Arabidopsis thaliana: one gene and its partner. The protein of the gene in region 1 interacts with the protein of each later gene in a pairwise test. Each region holds a gene or a part of one and is shown in the gene's direction. Other genes may lie near its edges. The genes, in order: PTAC6 and HSL1.

Region 1 (9,882 bases):
CATGCTTTGTAGCTAAAAAAACCAAGCATCGGCATCGCCAGGACTAATGCCGTGCCACCTCAAAATACAAGGAAGGAAGAGGCCAGAGGTTATTGTCTCCGGCGTTTCTAAGAGCTCCTTTGTCAATCGTGATGTCAACTTGGCAAGTTCAGGTCCGGGGTTGTTCGTGGGATGTTCAGATTCTGAGGAGCTGGGATTACACGTGTCTGTGGATGTTCGGGCTTCTTCAGGGCAAGAACGACTTGTTTCTCAGCCATTACAGCCTCGTTCTTTCTCTTGACCACTCTTGTTTCCTCTGTAGGATTGCAAGAGCTTGAGATTCCCTTTAGCTTCTCAGGCTGCTGCTGATTTGATCTGTCAACCATAGTTTGACTAGTGACCACGGAAGTGCTGGTTGCATTTGGATCAACAATCAATTTTTTTTCCCCACTGTGTTGTCTCTGAACCACTAATTCGGTGTTGGGCTGAGCAGTACAGTCTGTTCTTGGTACCAACTGCTTCATACTCTTCTTCATCTTTGTTTGATCCTTTAACAAAGCAGAATCTAATCAAGCAAAGCAAATTGCGAAAATTTTAATGCAAAGAGGTAAAGGGCTGAGAAAATTCTTTAACTACCATCTCTTTCGCAAGGTTTCCATACAATGCTTTTCGTCTCTCCTTTGCCCGGAAAATTGCATGTTTGATCCCACGATAATCCATCAATCTATTTGGCCAGAGTTCAGCCAACTGGAGCATGAATAATTCCAAAACAATATTCATCAAGCTCTAACAAACCACCTTGAGCTTTTGGCTAGGTCTAATTGGTGATTTAAGACATGAGATAAGCTTGGAACAAAAAAAACCAGAATACCAAAAATAATCGGGAATGGAGAAGGGCTTACATTGACATATAGCTTTTTTGTTTGTGGACCTTGATCTTCATCCAATCCCTAATATACCAAAAAACAGGAACAAAACCGTTTTGACTCTAATTCTATGTCTAGAATTGGCATGGCAGATTATAAAGGTAAATGATAATTACGTCGATAAATATGTCATATAGGTCACACAATTTATCCTCCAATGCCGCATCCATGACAAACTTCTTCAAAGATGGCTTTTCTACTGAGTCCTGAAAATCGTCTGATGTTGCACCTTCTGGTTTGATTGCCTATGGAACATAAAATGATAGTGCAAGAAATATCATAAATGTCACAGGTGCCTCAACATATTAATAGGAGGAAAATACGCTACAAAGGCAGATTGACCCACAGGGAACATCGAAAACAAAAGAATGAAGAGCTTGATCTACGGAAAACCATTATCAGAGAGAACTCCAGATTTCATAAAAGTTAATGACACTTCCAAGAATGTAATAAGATAGAAAAGCCATGGATGAAAGAAATGCCTATCAAGCAACTTAAGATTAGAACAGAGAGAGAGAGAGAGAACCTGTGATTCCATCAAAGAAACTTTGGCCTTTATCATATCAAGAACTTCATTGTTGATTTGCTTGAACCTAGTATCCTTTTCTCGGGTTGCAGAATCTCCCATATCAATCATGATTTTCAAGTTCCTCTGCAAAATAAGCATTACAAAGAGTAAGAAACCATATTTTGTTTGCTTGTACCTGAAACAGAAGAGTTTTTCACTGGAACATGAATGTCCTGAAGAAGACTAACTATTTAAACACCTTGACGAAAGTCCTAACAAGTCTGCTTTAGTAACAGAAAGACTAGGATACAGGAGACAGAAAATTTTACCTTAAGAGACCTAAGCTGGATTAGGTGACCAACAATGCTCATAAGACGGTTGATTAACTCTGTTGAATGTTTTCCCTGGCTTGCCTGCTGCCACAAAAGGCATATTAGTTTTTTCTCATACCGTTTCAAGTTTCAAAAAAATGAGAAGAACAAATGGAAAAGCTCTAGTACCGCAATCCTAGCAACTTTAGCAAGTTTCAATTTAACATCCCTGGGCAATCTTCTCTTCACTGCCTGGGATGAGGTATCAGCTTCTTGATTTTCAGTGATAGCAGGAGGCCTTGCTGCTTATAAATCATAAATTCTTGTAAGTTGAAAATCACCAAATGCTATTCTAGTTGGTCACACTTGAAAAATATTAAAACTCACATTCCACAACCACCTTCTCCAGTTCCCTTATGGCTTTCTCGAGGATTGAGGTTTTAGACTTCACATTAGAACCATCTTTTTTCTGAGTAGAGACAGGTTATTGCAGAATTATAAAGCAAGACTGATGTAAACTTTGTGGTAAGAAAAATGCATGGAAGCAAAGATTGACCAGAAAAATATCACAGAACCGAGATGAAAACTGGAGAAACAAAACTACGACCTTAGAATGCAACCAACTTACTGAGTGTATTTTATGTAATTGTAGACACAGTTGGAATGTACTTACAGACGCTTGACTAGATTGTCTGCTTCCCGTTACATTTGCCAGCTGATGCATACCATTGTTTTCTTTCTGACGGACTACTGTTACCTCTGCAAAGACATTGGGGGGAGATTTTCCTAGCAGGGACGTAGATTGTTGGTGTAAGCTTTTGTTGCTGTATTTCTGATGAAGGGCACTAGAGGATCCAGTTTCCCTTGACTTGTGACTTGTATCATTCCTAGACTGATGATTTGCTCTATCAGAATGCTTCACATCATCCAGAGGTACTGAAGTATTTGCATCTTGCGCTCCAGAAGGCAAAGGTGACTCCTGTGTTTTCCAGGACCCAGGAGCAGTTGATTGATCCTGGACTTCCCCATTCGTATAATCAGTTATCAGACTCAAACTCCGACATAAATTAGTATGATTTGCAATAAAAGATGTTACCTTTTTCCTAGCTGTTATAGACAACTTGGTGTGTTTATCGGATACGTCAACTGCATCACGACAGGGTTTTGCTGAATCTTTTCGTCGCCGTTTTTTGGGTTGCTGGTTAGATGTTGTTGAAGGTTCCCTATTGTGAAAATGAATCAGGGATTAGATAACTTGTAAATGAAATATAGCATGATTAGGCAAAATGAGAAAAACTCTATCCTATCGAAAGTGCAAAACCTACATCTATATGAACGTTTTTTAACCAGAAAAGTTGAAAAATGGACTTTACCCATACCAAACACCCTACAGACATTAGTTAAGGCAGTAGTAGCAAGACTGCCAACCATATTTTACCATTTGGAGAGACTACACATATCCAAATAGGAAGAAAAACTGAAAAGCAAGGTGATTTCATATGTTTATTTCAAAAACTTACGACATGCCTATTCTAAACATGATCTGAGTGATTGAAAAGTGACAAAGCCACCAAAGAGTTAAGAGACATCAGATAATGAAAAGAGGAAGATAACTCACATCCGCTCCAACTTGCCTCTATTTACATAAAATCCATCATGTTTAACTGTTGAATTATCAACTTCGAAATACTCATCCTGCAAGGAGTAGAGTAAAACAGAGATATGATTTCTCAGCTATCAAAAATATTTGAAAGATATCAACACCAACCAGTTCAGCATCATCTATAAATGAATCTTCAGTGTCATACTCATCATCATCAGGAGCACCGTCTAACTCTTCCCCATCACTGCTATCGTTCCCCTGAGATTTATTCTCTGAAGTAAGCATACACTTTTCAGAGATGTGTGAATGCAACAGTGCTATTGCATGGTATGCAAAAATGTTGTGAATGTGAAAAATCAAACATATAACAACCTACCAAGAAAAGTGTTTTAACAAAGAGTAGCATACCTTATAGAGCCTCTCTATCTTCTCAATAACAGCGTTGAAACGGTTAGAATGAGGTTGTTCATTCGTTTCAATCTCTACTGGATGCCCCTACATTATATACGAAAATACAGCTGTTGAAAATGATTTTAACCACCCATATTGTATGCATAAGAAGAATATATTGTGAGGAAGCTGCAAGCATATTATACCATCTTAAATGAAGATCCACTATTATATGCTTCATTCTCTTGCACTAATAGATATTAATAAAACTTTCTCTATATTCTTCACTATTACAGCTATAGTTTCCATTGCAACTATGTGAACCAAATTCCTTTCCAGATCAAGTATAATTGATGGCATATTCACATTGATAACGATGAAGTTAGCCTAATGTAGCTAGCAATTAGAAATGAAGCCAAAGATCATATATCAGGTTGTAGACTTTCTCCGTTTAAGGAGTTTGCTTATTGAACTCTAGTCACAGACGTCAGAGAGCAATAACAACAGAATTCCTCCTATACCATATCGATTTCAAGCATTTTCCCCAACAAATAAATCTGAAAATCTGCGAATTTAGTAAAGCTCCTTTATAAACCCTAACAAAGATTACAACTCCCCGAAACAAGACAAATGCTTACTCCAATAACAGCAAACGAAACCCACAAATGCCTACAAGTATATATATCCGATTACCAATTCCTACAACATCAAACTCACCGGTGCAATTCGAAACTCAAGGTTAGGGTTAGCATTAGGAGGCGGGTCGGGAACCGAAGCCGATAAACCATTGACCTTACCAGCATCCCTCATAAGCTTCTTCCACGAAACATACGTCGTATCCCCTGGCCGAAGCTCCACCTTGAGTAATTTCCGATCACCGGCCGTTAAAACCTTCGGCGACGCTCTCAACAATTCGCCGCCAATAGAACCACCACTCATCTCATTAACTTCCGACATTAATAATTCGGGTCGGGTCGGGTCGGATCAGTTTGATCCACTATATACTAACCCCTGGGTTCGAGACGGATTGATCTAAACAGCAATCAAGAGAGTGGAATCGATGAATCGATGTAGAGAAACTGAAACTGAGAAGAAAAAGTTGCGCGGGATACCAAAAATGACGCTCTTAATTATTTCCTAATTTATTTTTGTTGTTTTATTCACTAAAAAGGATTATTATTATATTATATAGTTTTTCTTTTTTTTTTAATTGTATTTTTCCTCGAAATATCTAATCCACAGATAGATAGAACACTCTGTGAGCTTTATCCGCTTCCAATGGCGTCTTCCGCCGCTTCTCCTTCCTTATCTCTACTCTCATTCACCTCGAAGCCACCTTATCCCTCCGGCTCTCAGCGGCTATTTGCGTCATTCAGAACGGACGGTCTTTTCGCGCCTTTAACACTGAAATCCCGACGCGGCCGTGGTATAGTCGTTAAAGTAGATGACGTCGATGCTGATGGAGGTGGAGCGGACGAGTATGATATGGATGATGAGGAGGTAGAGGAAGTTGACAACAAGAAGGACTATGATGTCGAGTATGACCCCTTGGCCGCCGCGATAGCCGCTGCAGGCGGTGGTGGTGATGGAGATATCGCTTTTGTTCAGAGTAAGAGTTTTATATCGACACAAGGATGGGATTCGGATATGGTGGTTGATTATCGGATAAACGAAGATGAGTTTCATAAACTCAGCTTAATGGACTGTGATTTCTTTATCAGAAAACCTCCTGATCCAGATAATGATGTTTATGATTTCAGAGAGGTGTGTGAATTCCCAGTGACTCTAATTGCTCATTTCTTCGATTTCTCTAGAGTCTGTGCTCATTCTTCAATTGTAAATTGTTTTGTGTGGGTGGCTGCAGATGTATGTTACTCCTCCGGATACAGATATTTACTCAATTCCGAGAGTTCTTGCACCGATGCCTCAAAAGGTCAGTCATTTATCCTTATCGGTTGCTGTTTTTGTAATGCCTATGCGTTGTTCTGAGACTTCCTTTTGTTCAGCAAGATAATTGCTTTTCATATTGTGCTTAATTGCTAATTGAACCCATATACCTCCACTCTACCTAGTAATTGTATCACTTAAGAAATCTTATCTGCACAGAGCTCTACCTAGTAATTGTATAACCCATATACCTTCACTCTACCTAGTAATTGTATAACTTAAGAAATCTTATCTACACAGAGCTGTACACGTTTGGTATTGTTTGGAACTTCTACTCACACTGATAGACTGGAATTTTGAACATATAATCTCAAAAAGTGCCGTAAATGGTCAGCATTTAGTATGATTAGAGAGTCAGAATGTAGCAGCTGGGTGTTTGTTTAGTCACTTTCCTTTCATTCTGTGGCCAGTTTTGTACTCTTTGCTGCTTCATGATTGCGTATGTTTTACATTGTAAGGTTTATTTATAAGCAAGTTGTTACAATGAGTGAGTGGTGCTAACAAGGGCTTGTTTAATGATGTTACAAGTACAGTATATTCGATGTGCAATGAGTGACTATGGATGTTACAATGTCACTGAACCACCTATTGATGCCCCCAGAGATCCACTGTACAAATCTGAGAGGGAGATATCCAAGGTACATATTGGACCATGTACATTGATGTTAAATCCATTAGGTCTTTGATGCAGGGAGTCTTGAGCAACATGTATTAACAAGGATGTACTTAGTTTTGATTTGACAACATTTTTGGAAACCACACCAGGAAATATGTTTTTTAAGCATTAAGGATGAGATCAACACGAAACTACTTAGTTTAGTAGTTACAGTTTCTGATACAAATTGTCTTCATCGTGTTTATTTTTTATGCAGGTTTTCTTGACAAAACATTACCGGAACAGAAGGACAAACGATCCAGAATTTGTGCTAGATCTTGAAGAGATATATGTTATTGATTCCAAGACAAAGTCAATCACCAGAGCCAGAGTTCTGGTATGACTAATTCTTATCTTCCAAGTTATTTAAGCATTATTAACAAAGTTCTCATTCCGAGTCTGAGCACAAACCTCAACCGTAGACCATAGCCAATTGGGTTTTTTGACATATTCTTATAGAATATTTTTCATGCTATAACACTAATGAAATGCTGGTTTATATTAGTGCTATTTATGCCTCTAGTTCTGAATCAGATATCTTGAGTTATGAGTTCTTTAAATACTGTGCATAGCTCAAAGCTATGAAGACAATCTTCTTTCCGATGTTAAGGTTTTAGATTGTTTCAGGTGACAGTTCCGGGAGGAAGAAAAAGGGATAGGAAGGATGACTTGCTTGTGATACGAGATAATGGAACCTCCTTTAAGATCATACACGTGGTACCTTTCCATTTCCAAATGACCAAATCCATTTCATCTGGCAGTCATTTGTATTCCTTCATCTAGCTTTACTCATCTTCACTCTATGTCTATATATTTCCATTCTTTCAGGGTGAAAGAGATGACCCAACAACGGTAATAGAAAGAGAAGAGTGGACCAAGACTAGAGAAGACATGGAGAAACATCTCAGGAAGCTACGAGACTTCAGTGTCTCAAATTGGTTCTAGAAGAACTCGAGAGACACCAAACGACAAGTCAGCATAACTTTCTTCCTGAGATGGAAAACGAGAGCAGATGATCTAAATCGATGATATGGTGGAGGGTATACAATTTTGGTGACCTCAGGTACTGCACTAGCAGCAGAGATGGATGTGTTATTAGATGAATATGGGCCTCTAGAAAAAAGTGTGTAGATGCAATAGTTTGATGGACTAACATTCAATGACTAGAGAAGCTAGCTTATTTGCAAGTTTTGAGGTGTTTAATTCAAGTTTTCAATTGATGATTATGATGGCTTGTATTATTCTTGTGATGAGATATTTTCATATTCAAGATTGGAACAAAGTGTTTGTATTTGAGAAATTGGGATGGTGTTGACTGTTGTTGAGTGGACTAGTTAGAACTTGTAGCCGGCGTGTCGTTTTAGTTATACGAAGCTACTAAAAACGACAGGTAGTCTGTTATTCTAAACTTTTTGATGTAATTAATGATGACATCAGGAAAAGACACGTGTACGGTATCATGTTCGGTCGATTGGATTTTCACGTGAGTGGGATTACAAATGTCAAAGTCGCCGACAGAGCAGTCATGTTGTGTGGTTGGTTCCATTGGCCCATTCTGTGACCACCGAACATTAACTTCCCTATTCAGTTTTTTAATACAAATATCTTTATTTATTGCCACACTTGAAAAATTACATGAATCACTTAGAATGACACGTAAAACAAAATAAATGCACCAACAGTTCGGTGATATGGAATTCGTTAGGTATATAAGAAATTAAGAATAGTTGTAAAACACGATTGTGTTCAATATTATGGAATGAAAATTGCGATAGAATGGTCAGAACGATCGATTTGACATATGCCAAACCAACAAGGTAGAGAAGGAAATGATCAAATCTTAAAACAATTCAATTGAGTCGAAGAAACAAAAACATGTGCACGATAAAATGAATTGCACGATAAAATAAAGAAGATTGACGTGAGAAAGAATAGTCAAATGGAATAAAAATAACGATAAGGTATGTGCATCAACCGTTGAATTTGTAAGTAAGTATGGTTTTGGTGGGCTACATTTCTAATAAGCATCTTTGATTTGTCAATCTACCTATTAAAATACATACACAATGGACAAGGAATGATTCATATAAAAACAAAGGAATAAAATCACATAATTATGATAATTTGTTATCTCATTGCCGGAACCTCATTTATGGTACTTTTATACATGGCACAACATTCTATTAATCGATAACGGTGGACCATATTCCCCGTATTTAATACGTAGATTTCTTCTTCTACTGTTTGGTATGGTACCAATCTCTTAAGTTAATTATGTAACATAAATTCAGATAAAAGAAAATGTTTGTGTTGCATATATTTTTTTTTTGTATAAAATAATCTACAATAGGGAATAAATAAAGTTAATTTCATGAATGTATCTGAAATATTTTTAAATTAATTAAAATGAGCAAAAAAAAGAAAAGATATATCTATATATATTTTTTATAATTTGTTATTTGTTAGGTTGATAATTAATGAGAGAGTGTACTGTGAAGACTAAATATTAAATTATGTATTTTATTTATCTAAATGGCAACGAAATGAAAATTCTCATATGTCTGCTCCTCCATTCTTACTCTTCTCTCTTTCTCAGAAGCTGCAAAACCAGAGAGTGAGAGAGAATAGAGATTCACTTTTGTGAGCGTTGCGATGATTTTGTGCCTCGTGGAATCATCACACTACAACGTATTCACCTGAAATTCAGACAAAACAGTTTGAGGAAACTGGGAAGTGATAAGATAAGAGAGTGATAGAGAGAGAGATGACGGAAAACGGCGTCGTTACAGGAGGAGGCCATACTGTTATGGTGGGCGTAAAGTTCGATGAGTCGAGCAATGAGCTACTTGATTGGGCTTTGGTTAAGGTTGCTGAACCGGGTGATACTGTAATCGCTCTTCATGTACTCGGCAATGGTAACACTTTTTTGTTTCTCTGTATTAAAGCTACGATTTTTGGAAATGGGTTTCCATGTTTACTCTCTCTTATTGGATTTGTGTAGAGATCGTTGACCGAGCAGACAACTCTTCTCTCGTCTCCATTGTTAAAAACTTTGATTCTGTTCTTGAAGTTTATGAAGGTTTCTGCAAATTGAAACAGGTATGCTTATTAAAGTGGAAAACTTTCATGCTCTATTCTCTCTGCTCTAGCTGATGATGGTTGAATTGCTTTTAATAGTTGGAATTGAAGCTAAAATTATCCCGGGGTTCTTCTACTCGAAAGATTCTAGTTAAAGAAGCAAAAATGTGTTCTGCGTCCAAAGTTGTAGTTGGGATCTCCAGACGTTTCCATACAATTCATTCATCTGTCTCCGTGGCTAAGTACTTAGCTAGGAAAGTAGCAAAAGATTGCTGGGTTCTGGCTGTTGACAATGGAAAAGTCATGTTTCAGAAAGATGGTTCCTCATCGATCATTCATCACTCTAAAGGTTTGGCCTTTCTCTATAAGTTTCTTTTGTATGTGATGATTTCTGTGTCTGTATTAGGGTTTTGAACTCTTCTTCTTTCTTGGGCATTGGTTTGTAATAGGTAAAAGTGATGCTCGTAGGAACACTTTGTCTAGTT
Region 2 (12,397 bases), on another chromosome or scaffold:
GACAAGAGATTGACACTGAACCGAACTCAATTTCTCAACCGGCCGTCTTCCTAACAAGAGTTCAAGTAAAACCACACCAAACGCATAAACATCACTCTTATCCGTCAATTTTCCTGAGGGACATAAAGATGTTGCAATGAGACAAACTCAATAAACCGGTTTAGCGACCCAACAACTACCATCTCTAATCAAATAATGATTTCTATGTGTGATTAGTTGAAATAATACATCAACAAACAAAATGATTTGATTTAGAACAACAATTTTAGACGTAATGAAAGAAACTTAATGTTATGGGGTCACATGATTATGACTATCAAACTATGTGCTATAACTCTAGTGATATGACAACGAGTCAAAGTCGATCAATATAGAGGGAAATGTTAATATTTTACCATCTAGGAGATATTCTGGAGCAACATAACCAAGTGTTCCTGATAGTTTAATGTTGTTTTTGCCGTGAGCCCCCACCATTACCGCAAGACCAAAATCCGAAATCTGAATGTTGATCTATCGTTAGAGATGGAACTAAAGACAAATGAATGAAATGATTCTTGAATCAACGAAACAAATCTTGTTCGGTTAGCTCAGAACAGAATCATCATTAATGATTCAAGTTGTTTACCTTGGCGTTGAAGGAAGAATCAAGGAGAATATTTGACGATTTAAGATCTCTGTGGATAACCGGAGGACGACAACGCTCGTGGAGATACTCAACAGCTCTATTTCCAAACCAACATAAGAAAACGGTTTACCTAAACCGAAATTAATCAACCGGTAGAGAGGATTGTTAAATGTGGGCACTTGAGTGTAGTACCTTGCTGTATCAAGAGCAATCTTCATCCGCATGTGCCATGTTAAAGCCGATCCCCGAGAAGGTCCTTAACCATTAATGATGCAAACATTAAATTTTATCAAAACAAAAATTATTTATTTCATGTGGGCACATGATTTGTTTTATCTCTGTTATACTATAGTATTAATTTAACTCATGATCTATTACACGATGATGAGAAGATGTTTTGAGCTATTTTTACCGTGTAACTGTGTATCCAATGATCCGCTTTCCATCAGCTCGTAGACGATAAAACTCGAACTGAGTTCATTTCCATATCCAAACAATGAGATGATGTTCGGGTGGTGAATCTTGCTCAACAAATCAACTTCATTCTGAGATTTAGATGATAAAATCAGATATCAAGAATCCGGTAAAAAAGTAAAAATGATTAGTACTTGTGTTTTGTTTTGGTACCTGAAATTCTCGTTTTGCTTCTTGACTAACGTTTTCGATCTTTTTGACTGCTGCTAGAGTGTTGTTGCCTAAACAGGCCTTGTAAACATCTCCGAACCCGCCTCGTCCTATAAGATTACCGTCTTTGAAACCGCCTGTTGCTTTCTCTAGTGTCTTGTAATCGAAGGACTGCACAAAGCCCTTCTTGGATAATGAAATCCTACTCTCACCTTCTTCCGCATGAAACCATTTAGATATCAAAACAGAGAGATCACAATGAAGAAACTGATACAGAATCTTGTTACAAATGTAAAGTTTTGCAGATTTGTTCTCATTCTTAATGTTAAGATGATTATTACCTGAGTTCTTGGTGTTTTTGGGAGATTTCTTAGACCAATAAACCCAAAAGCATAAACAAGATACAAGTATTAGTCCTAGAGAAGATGAGGTGATTATGAGAGCGATTAGAAGTTTCTTGTGTGCATCTAACTTGTGTTCTTGGCCTTTGCCCATGTGGATCCCTGAAATCAGAAATCAAACGCTTGAGCTAATCTTCTCACTGTATCTAATTTCTGAATTATCCCAAAGGGATCTAGATGAGAAGGAATTTTCAGAATAACTGATAAAGAGATACGTAGAAGATAGCAATTCACTCATTCAGCAGCTCAAAAATAGCAATTACGTATATAATTAAAAGTCAGATTTTCATTGGTTTACTAAAACACAGATCAATCCACAAAAAAAAACATAAGCATGGATAGAGGAAGAGAGAGATACCTGGAGAAAAGGAAGCCATGGAAGTGTAAACAGGAGAAAGAGAAGGCTGTGAAGCAGGTGAAGTAAAAGCAGAAACACTAATGATGAATTCAAGAACAGAGACCTTAAGAAGAAGAAGAAGAAGATGAAGAATCTTTCCCATTTCTCCAGACTCTTTGGGATTTTTAATGGTGAAAGAGAGATTTTCTAAGAGCAGTGTGAGAATGTGAGATTGCTCTTCCAAGATTAATCTCTCTCTCGCTCTCTCTTTCTCTAATGGAGATCTCTTTCATAAAATTTTGTTTCCTTTTTTCTTGTCTGCATAAAGGAGGGAAGCAGAAAGTGGGTTTTAAAAAAGTCGAAATCATTCTCTCTAACTTCTTTATCATCAAATCAACATGTGAGAGGGTTTGAATGTGATAGTGAACACAAATTATTAAATTCTTCCTAACCAAAAACAGTTTAAAGTGATCAATGTATGAATTTCTTATATTTTAAATTAGAACAATTTATTCAAAACACGAATTTGTAACTTGGGCCACTACTAAAACTTCTGAAGAATAAAATTTAGAGTGGTCAAGTTAAAATATGCCTTTGTAACTTGAAGAGTTTACTTTACTGACAGCAAAAGTTGACCAGTTGTGTCAAACCGACAGAAATAAGAAGACTTTCCGTTTTGTTTTTTCTCTTTGGTCAATTATGTTATCAATAAAATATCTTCTTAGTAGTATATTTTTATTCTAGCATATAATCCTCTTAAGGATTCACGAGAATGGATCTAACTAATTCTATGCAGCATTTGCAACTAGAGTCTATATAAATAAACAACAAAAACTTCTACACTTTTAGAAACTCAACGGGCACTAACATAAAGTATTAGCAAACTAAACGCAACGACGGTTGTGAATGAAAGACTTTCGCAAATGTATAATGAGTGTGATTAAAGTGAAATTATATGCTCTCTTTTATCAAATGAAAGAACCAATCAATACTTCGGTAATGTATGTAAAATTGGTGTCGATACATATACAGTATATCTACACATTATATAGGAGTCAGTGATTCGTGATATATTAACTAGAGTTGCATCATCAGATAGTTATTTTTATATTGTCAACTACTATTTTATGCTTGTAAAAATACACAGAGATGGTTCTTGGTTACAACAAGGAATATTTCATATGTGAAATCTGAAAGGCAACAATATTAGACTAATATAGCAAATAACATGATATCAACGTATGGGAGTGTAAATGTCTGAATGTTCCATTTGAGAAATGTCCTCATCATGTGACACAAGTTTATTAGGCTACTCAAGTTAGCTTAGAATTAAGAAGCTAGAACATGTGAAAATAAATAGAAAACAAAAAAGAGGAAACAAAAACTAATAACAGAACGAGAAGTTGAAACCTTTTGGATCCAATTAAATGAATATCGATGTAATTCCAAAATGTTAGTTCATGTGTTAATGTTTGAAGATCTAGTACATATGAATAACATTTGAAATCATTTTTGTTTCATGCAATTACATAACTACAAGGGTTTTCATCACATATTGCTAATTAATTTTGAGTTTAGAATCCAAAACATTTAACCGAAAATCTAATAATTTTAAAAAGGGTGATTTACTCATCTATAAGACTAACTAAAAAAATACGTACTAAATTATTTACAAGAGACAATTGATAACTAGAGTATGAATTAGTTGTTTAGACTTACCCATGTGTCAAAGTCATATTGACAAATGGCTCGGTTATAACTGATTTATATACCAATAATTGCATACAAGTTTGTTTCTTAAATAAATCAAGCAATATTCATAAGATTGCATGTGTATTTTCTGCGAAACTATTAGTACGAATTCGTGGATATGCAAATTTAATGACTATGCAAAGTAGGTGAGAATGTAATAGCGATTAGAATAGCTAGGGTTTAGCCTACCAACCATGGTAATCCAGTTTCCTAATTATCGTTAGTTTTTGAATCCCATTCATGCTTTTATCTATTTTTCAACCAATCATGTCTTTTTACCAACAAAGCATTTCCAGTCTAAGCAATATGGTAGGTAACTCGGTACGATAAACAGAAAGATAATTTATTATTCATCTATAAACGAATAATTGGTTCTCACATTACTCATACAGAGGAAAAAAAGGGATATACAAACCCTCTCTAAATTATATAGTTTTGAATTCACTGTTGTTTATCAACAACATATATAACTCTCTTACCCAATTCTTATTATTGTTCATACTTCATAGACATTAACATGTACGTATAGTGATTGCTACAATGAATGGTATGTACAGATATTGAGACAGACAGTAGAAAGGGATGAATCGAGTATTTATTAAAGAGAAAGGAAAGGGCCAATCTATGCCTAGTTTCAATTATGAAACTCAACCCATGAACTGATTTAAATACTTTACCTATCGGATAAGACTTTTAAGGGTCTAAAATATTTTCCAACTATTTTTCATTTGCAACAAACCTTAAAGTAATATGCTAAAGAGATCTTTTCCAAAGGTGGAATGATTTTTTTGATCTAAAACGGCCCATCAACCAATCTTCGGTCCATTATCCTGACATGATTATTTGGGCTACATTTTTTTAAGTCTTTTGCAGTAAATTGTTGAACCAACAAAAATAAAGAGTTGGAGTTGGACCTAGTAGCTGATCTGCTGATGTGTTGGTGATGGTCGTCGTGGGTTCCTGTCTTATAACCCTAGAAACCAAGCCACTTCATCATTCTCAAATTCAATGCTTTACTAAATAATATTATTATCGAAATCAAAATACTAATTTAGACGTATATAAATCTAGAAGCAAACCTTAGGTGAGGTCGAAACAGAGATGACCTTTTGCGTGCACTTTAATTAATATCTTATTACATAAAATGTCACACTTTGAGTAAACTTTACATTATTCTCTCATCCATAATAAATAAATAAAGCATACTGGGTTTTAGGTCAGGCTGACGTCAGCAGTTTCTTTGTGTTTCATTTTTTTTTTTTTTGTAATCTAACGCTCCAGATTTGTTGTCTTCTCCACGAGCCCTTTGTTGTTGTTGGTAATGGAGATTTTCGCTCTAAGTCATTGTGGCTTCTTCTTCTTTATTTAGAAACCAATTCATCAACTCCTTCGTTATTTCTAAATCTCTTTGCCACTACCTCTTGTTGCTGCAATTGAATTGGCTCAAATCTTCTTCACTTGGTCGACGTAAAGACGACTTTGACTTGGTTTTTAACTTCACTTCTCCGTCGAAAACTATCCCTTCTCTTCCGATCGAATCAATCGGCTCTCTCTCCACACAAACCAAGGTAAGGGTTAACCCTCTCCGGTGATTATGCTCTGATAAATTTACTTGCTCGGCCATTAGTGTTCAGAAACTTGGTGATTTATGCATGTTTTTTTTTGTTCAAAGACCGTAGATTTCGGAATTAGGATTGTAAAAATTGAACCTTTACATCAGTGTTTTTACAAAGTTATAAGCTTTACTTGGAAATCAGTGGTTTTTTGGGTCAACCAAAGTTGAAAGATTTGAAGAAGAATGAAACTAGTTCGATTTATATATCATTTTATTGCTTCTTAAGAAAGTGTCGTCCTTGGTTCTTTATGAATTTCCAATTGCAGCCAAATATGTCATGTTATTCACCTAATTTTTGTATTTTCCAATTGCAGCCAAATATCTTCTCCTGTTACTGGAGACAAACCTGCATACATTTCTGTCATCTCTGTTAAGGTATTACATTTAGTTTACTTGTTTACTTAATGTAGCTGCTTATTACATTTTTTTCTTCAAGTCTATATTCTTCTTTCAATAGCATTAAAAGTTATGTGTATCCTCAGATTAGATCTTGCTGACTCGCAAGTTTTTGGATTATTTAGCGGTTTAATAAGAATTATATCTTCCTTGAAATTGTGCCTAGGTAGTGGAATCGTTGTTAGCCTACTGTAGCTCAGATAGGTGATGGATCATTTCCGTTCAATTGAATAATTTGACTATTTAAGGTTTGCACTTAGTTTTGTCTACAGAATCAATTCATCCTTTTTCACAGTCAAGATATTATTCTCATTATCACTATTGTAGACTTCTTGGACTTCCATACATTCATCAGTCAACTTTTCGATGGTGCGTTTTTATCACAGTGGCACAATTATTTAAGAGGCTCCATCTCCACTGCACCACTGAGAAGTTTCGTGTGGACATGTCTAAGCTTAGAATTGGTTTGGTTGAAAACTGAGGAGATGGAAGTGACTCGTGGTTTCTCTTTTTTGGACAAGTTTCTTCGAAAGGTCTGTTGATTTTCTTTGTCTCTTGTGAACTTTAATTTCGTTTTTTTTTCCTTAGGATGCAATGATATCTTATCTTTAGATGTCAATATCAAATGTCCTTAACTATTCATTCATTTACGGATTTTGATTACTTTATAACAGTTGGTATCTTCTTCTATATATCGTCATCTTATATGTTTTTATTTGTATATAGTCTTTCACAGAAGGAGCGTATTGAGTTTCTCGACAATATATTTGACATCTTCTTCTGCCTTTTCTGGTAAGTGTTTAACTTTTCTGATACCAATTAGTTTTCTTAATCATTGCATATTTTTAATGCTTGTGCCTTTATTAAAGAGGAAAGTTGCGGTGGATTAAAGCACCATCGTGCGGAGAATACGATAAGGCTCTTGCTTCATTTGAAGTTATTGACAGTTGAATCGAGCCGCTCAATTGGTCAATTATGGAGTCAATAAAGGTTTGCATGAACGCACTGTGCGGAGCGGCCTCTACGTCGGGCGAGTGGAAAAAAGGCTGGCCTATGCGATCCGGTGATTTAGCTTCTCTCTGCGATAAGTGTGGGTAAGGGCCTTCACTCTTGTGTCTAATTTGAATACTTTTGCGACCAGTTCGATATTCGCAACACTTCTGCGATAGATTAGTGCTGTGGGTTTGCTTACAATTAGAACAAGAGTGGGTACGTGAAGGGAATCTATATTTCATGATTACTTATTAGTAAACTCTGTGAATGTTGGTTTTTGATAGGTGTGCATACGAGCAATCCATATTCTGTGAAGTGTTCCATGCCAAGGAATCTGGTTGGAGAGAGTGTAATTCATGTGACAAGGTGACGAAAATCCATGGCTTACTACACATGTTTTTGCACTCAACGTATTTCAATTGTTTTCCTTAATACGTATTTACGTTTTTTTCAGCGTCTTCACTGTGGATGCATTGCTTCTAGATTTATGATGGAGCTTCTAGAGAATGGTGGTGTTACCTGTATAAGTTGCGCCAAGAAATCCGGACTAATTTCTGTAAGACAATTTCCTCTCCATGAGTTAACTTCTTGCAAGGGATGCTTCCTTGGTCTTGGTTTCTCTGTCACTATACTCATGTAATCTCTCTTACAGATGAATGTGAGCCATGAATCTAACGGTAAGGACTTCCCCTCATTTGCTTCAGCAGAGCATGTAGGCAGTGTTCTTGAGAGGACAAATCTCAAGCACTTGCTTCACTTTCAAAGAATCGACCCCACTCATTCTTCTCTTCAAATGAAACAAGAAGAATCGCTGCTTCCTTCCAGCCTAGATGCTCTTAGACACAAAACTGAAAGGAAAGAATTGTCTGCACAGCCAAACTTGAGCATTTCACTTGGACCTACGCTTATGACAAGCCCATTTCATGATGCTGCTGTTGATGACAGAAGTAAGACTAATTCGATTTTCCAACTGGCCCCTCGGTCCAGGCAGCTGCTTCCAAAACCTGCAAATTCAGCTCCCATTGCTGCTGGCATGGAGCCTAGTGGGAGCCTGGTGTCACAGATTCATGTCGCTCGGCCTCCTCCAGAAGGTCGCGGGAAGACCCAATTGCTTCCCCGTTACTGGCCTAGGATTACTGACCAAGAGCTGCTGCAATTATCTGGACAGTATCCTCATCTGTATGTTATAATATCGTGTTTCTGCTTTTATTCTACCATTATGCACTATTTTTCTGTGCTAAGGAGTCCTTGACTGTTTATTTTCCTAGCTCAAATTCCAAAATTATACCACTCTTTGAAAAAGTTCTGAGTGCGAGCGATGCGGGTCGTATTGGTCGACTGGTTCTTCCGAAAGCATGTGCAGAGGTAACTTGTTTCTCTGTACGCTTATTTGATATTCCCAAACTATTGCTATCTAAATGCCAGGTATCAGCTATAACCGTCTATGCTTCTATGTAGGCATATTTCCCCCCTATATCTCTACCCGAGGGTCTCCCGTTAAAGATACAAGACATAAAAGGGAAAGAATGGGTGTTCCAGTTCAGGTTTTGGCCTAATAATAACAGCAGGATGTACGTTTTGGAGGGTGTGACTCCTTGCATACAGTCCATGCAGTTGCAAGCTGGTGACACTGGTACTTTTCAAATCCTTTTGTTTCGTTAACTACATTCATAACATATTGATAAACCCACCCTGGTATGGATAAATGAAACATTGGCACTAAAGCGTTCCAATCATGAGGACAGTGAAATACATTCCACGAAGAGATGACCGTACTTTTCTATTAGGTCTGATGTCTTGGATTTTCCATGTTCTCTGCAGTAACATTCAGCCGTACAGAACCTGAAGGAAAACTCGTAATGGGATACCGTAAAGCGACGAACTCTACAGCGACACAGGTAAATGCATAATAAGCTGAGAGTTGCCCCCTTAGGCATAAGTAACTGCCACTGTGAAGTGTATTGAATTAAAGAATCCTTTTCTGGTGCTCTCGTACTGATTCTTTCAGTGAAATATTTTTCCGTGTTTCTTCAGATGTTCAAGGGAAGCAGTGAACCCAATCTGAACATGTTTTCCAACAGCTTGAATCCGGGATGTGGTGACATCAATTGGTCTAAACTAGAGAAGTCTGAGGACATGGCAAAGGATAACTTATTTCTTCAGTCGTCCTTAACTTCTGCTAGGAAACGGGTTCGGAACATTGGGACTAAGAGCAAGCGTCTGCTCATTGATAGCGTAGATGTTCTGGAACTGAAAATAACTTGGGAGGAGGCACAGGAGCTGTTGCGGCCTCCCCAATCCACCAAACCCAGCATCTTTACGCTGGAAAATCAAGATTTTGAAGAATATGACGTGAGTTACTGTTAACTGTTTAGTTATCAAAAACAGCTGGGAACTTTTCACTGTATTTTCTGAAATCATGTATTTGCTGCTACCCAGGAACCACCAGTTTTCGGGAAGAGGACCCTTTTTGTCTCACGTCAAACAGGGTGAGGCCTCATGTACTATGTAATGATAGGATCAGAAGAATTAAGCACCCTTGGAATGATCGAAAGATTTGAAGTAATGAACATCTGATTATTTGGTTCTGATATGTGATCCATGAATTCTCAGGGAACAAGAGCAATGGGTGCAGTGTGATGCTTGTGGGAAATGGCGACAGCTGCCGGTGGATATTCTTCTTCCACCAAAGTGGTCGTGCTCTGATAATCTCTTGGATCCTGGCAGGTAAACGAGGTTGCATGTTCATGTGTTTAACCTAGGCTAGTTACCACAGAACATTGCGCATTTTTTTCCGAAATAACTTAGACTACACATATGGGATAATTATAGATTTTTGACTCACTGAGACTGGCCATCTGAATAATTTGAGTTGCTGTTTATATCGTCAGGTCTTCATGTTCCGCACCTGATGAACTCTCTCCAAGAGAACAGGATACACTTGTCCGGCAGAGCAAAGGTAAAATCCGCAGCTATTATTGGTCTGTATAATTAGAAACTTCCTTCTTTACATAACGAAACTTTCGTCTCAACAGAGTTCAAAAGGAGGAGACTGGCATCATCAAACGAAAAGCTAAACCAGTCGCAGGATGCATCTGCTCTGAATAGTTTAGGAAATGCAGGCATCACCACAACCGGTGAACAGGGGGAAATCACGGTTGCAGCCACGACCAAGCATCCAAGACACCGGGCAGGGTGTTCGTGCATCGTCTGCAGCCAACCACCGAGCGGAAAAGGCAAACACAAGCCGTCATGCACTTGCACTGTGTGCGAGGCAGTGAAGAGACGATTCAGGACGCTCATGCTGCGGAAGCGGAACAAAGGAGAGGCAGGACAGGCAAGCCAGCAGGCGCAGTCACAGTCAGAGTGCAGGGACGAGACAGAAGTGGAGAGCATTCCAGCGGTTGAACTAGCCGCAGGGGAAAACATCGACTTGAACTCAGACCCGGGGGCTTCCCGAGTAAGCATGATGAGGCTTCTCCAAGCTGCAGCGTTTCCTCTGGAAGCATATCTGAAACAAAAGGCTATTTCCAATACAGCAGGAGAACAGCAAAGCAGTGATATGGTCAGCACAGAACACGGTTCGTCCTCAGCCGCACAAGAAACTGAGAAAGACACAACAAATGGAGCTCATGATCCTGTGAACTAAACAGCTTTGGAATTCTCCATGAGTATTTATTCTTCAGTGGTATGTGTTTCTTATTTACACAAAAAATGTCTTCGGTTTCGTCTCAAATTGGTTGAGTGGTTACGACCATTCTACCAATTGTCGATCGAAGAAATGAGGAATTTGTAGTTTGCTTTTCTTTTTGTTTCTGGTGTTTTGGTTTGGTGTGTGGTGAGTTGAGGCTTGAGAGAGAGAGACAAATAGATTTGATGAGGTTTTTGAAAATACATAGGACACTAACTTAATAGTTATATCTAATATGGAAATGGATGAAGCTTCTAAGAAGAGAATCGGTTCTGGAGGTGGAGCTTCAAATTTGTACGCCTATCTATCGCAATCTTAAGTTTCAAAATTCGAACCTGTACATAATTTTTATTATTTTCAAGTTTGTTTATGAAATTTATGATTTACTTAAATTAGAGAAATTGGTTACGCGAGATCCTATTATTTTGATTTGGTGATAAACTTATGGTATGAAGACACACAATCAGTTACATGGAAGCAAATAAATCGGCTATAGCTCGGTCGATGTTAGAAGTGTTGATCGTGTCAGTGTAATAATAAGAGTTATCACTTATCACTCAACTAAACTCCTAAAAATAGAGCCATATGATAAGCTATCACTCATCCAAATCCTAAAAATATAAAAAACCGTTTGGTATATCCAATTTGTCTCGAGTTCTAAACATTAGCGATAATACAGTATTAGTTTCAGAATTTGAGTCAGAAATTGATATAAATTTAGATGAAGAAGCATGTTTGTTGCTTGTTTTTGCTTCTTTCTATGTCTCTGTTATGATAACATACAGTATCAAAGAAGTTAAGACCTGAGGTCAACTCGTTTGTTCGTGTCTGAATTCTGATTATTTTGTGGGTTTCTTTCTTCTCAAATCTCACCAATCCCCCATGTTATAAAATATCAGGAATAGCCCCAAAAGAAATAAATAATTAAATAAGAGCAACAATACTTTTCCAAATTGTTTTTTTTGGCCGGCCAAAGTTGATTGAGTCGGCTCGATTGACTGACTCCAAAATAATCAATCTCATACAGCATCACGCCATTCCTATCGTCAAATTACACGTGTCTTTTTCTGATTGATAAGTTTGTCCTCAAACACGTGGACTCTGCCTTATTTCTTCTCAATAAAGAAAATTTATTACCTAATGCCCCTACCTCTTCCCAAAACCAATAACTAGGCGTTTTTTTTTGTCCCATTTTTCTTTGTTGGTTTCATTTATGAATACACTACATATTATTGAAAAATAACACAAATGCCCTCCTTAAATTCATAATTTTACAATATTTATATTAGTATTACGTTTTTTGCACTAATCACTAGATATATGAATATAATTTTAATTAGTTTATGCCCAAAATACACAGAAAGGGCATCAAAAGCATCAATTTATTTTTAATTGACCAAATAGCTTTAGTGATTCTTATTATTAGTAATTTAATACTAGTTGGCGAGAAAAAAAAATACAAAGAAGATGAACAAGTGAAACAAACTTGAGAAATATCCGTGGTCAAAGAAGATAGACGAGTGGGGGTGGCAATAGAGTAAATAGAAAGGAACACGAAGGGTTTGTTTGTAAGGAATATGTTAATAATGGAAGGGCGAAGAAAAAGATGAGACAGAGAGTGGGACCCATAAACGCGTAGCTGAGGTTTTGGTAAGGATCGTCGTGGGTTCCTCCTCTCTCACCCTATAAACCACTTCTTTCTCACGCGCCTCTTTCACATTTATTATTACACCTAAATTTAAATAAATTATTATTATTATTGTGGTCGACCACTTCTTTCAAAAGTTGTTGTCATTTACCTATTCCCAACACATATATTCTACTCCACCTTAAGAATATCTATTTCCTTTTGTCATTAGAAACACTTATACGAACCTGTTACATATTTGCAAGGTCGTATCAATATGTTTATCGACATAATCGTTAGGATCTTTGGGTTTCTCAATGTTTAATAGTCTTTTAC

What was found.
Region 2: the proteins of PTAC6 (region 1) and HSL1 interact in binary tests that used the Arabidopsis thaliana proteins (3 or more experiments, as listed by UniProt).

Annotation. Positions count from the first base shown.
Region 1 is NC_003070.9:7,568,896-7,578,777, reverse strand, and holds PTAC6 (plastid transcriptionally active 6), read left to right. Parts: upstream 1-4,931; 5' UTR 4,932-4,995; coding exon 4,996-5,481; intron 5,482-5,581; coding exon 5,582-5,650; intron 5,651-6,197; coding exon 6,198-6,302; intron 6,303-6,536; coding exon 6,537-6,656; intron 6,657-6,946; coding exon 6,947-7,036; intron 7,037-7,147; coding exon 7,148-7,264; 3' UTR 7,265-7,382; exon of another isoform or gene 7,383-7,756; 3' UTR 7,757-7,933; downstream 7,934-9,882. Other genes in the region: AT1G21610 (wound-responsive family protein), read right to left, coding at 135-527, 613-726, 882-929, 1,022-1,150, 1,432-1,557, 1,743-1,829, 1,914-2,026, 2,112-2,193 and 6 more; AT1G21590 (kinase with adenine nucleotide alpha hydrolases-like domain-containing protein), read left to right, coding at 9,084-9,234, 9,321-9,418, 9,497-9,746, 9,847-9,882. UniProt on the Arabidopsis thaliana protein: Essential protein involved in plastid gene expression and in chloroplast biogenesis.
Region 2 is NC_003075.7:15,474,506-15,486,902, forward strand, and holds HSL1 (HSI2-like 1), read left to right. Parts: upstream 1-4,873; 5' UTR 4,874-5,307; intron 5,308-5,668; 5' UTR 5,669-5,729; intron 5,730-5,989; exon of another isoform or gene 5,990-6,136; 5' UTR 6,137-6,283; intron 6,284-6,476; 5' UTR 6,477-6,542; intron 6,543-6,619; 5' UTR 6,620-6,725; coding exon 6,726-6,844; intron 6,845-7,027; coding exon 7,028-7,109; intron 7,110-7,197; coding exon 7,198-7,299; intron 7,300-7,395; coding exon 7,396-7,922; intron 7,923-8,011; coding exon 8,012-8,108; intron 8,109-8,201; coding exon 8,202-8,376; intron 8,377-8,564; coding exon 8,565-8,641; intron 8,642-8,777; coding exon 8,778-9,095; intron 9,096-9,182; coding exon 9,183-9,232; intron 9,233-9,356; coding exon 9,357-9,470; intron 9,471-9,634; coding exon 9,635-9,702; intron 9,703-9,778; coding exon 9,779-10,392; 3' UTR 10,393-10,849; downstream 10,850-12,397. Other genes in the region: AT4G32000 (Protein kinase superfamily protein), read right to left, coding at 1-113, 396-498, 626-722, 818-881, 1,038-1,170, 1,253-1,752, 2,009-2,150. UniProt on the Arabidopsis thaliana protein: Transcriptional repressor of gene expression involved in embryonic pathways, such as LEC1, ABI3, and FUS3. Repressor of the sugar-inducible genes involved in the seed maturation program in seedlings.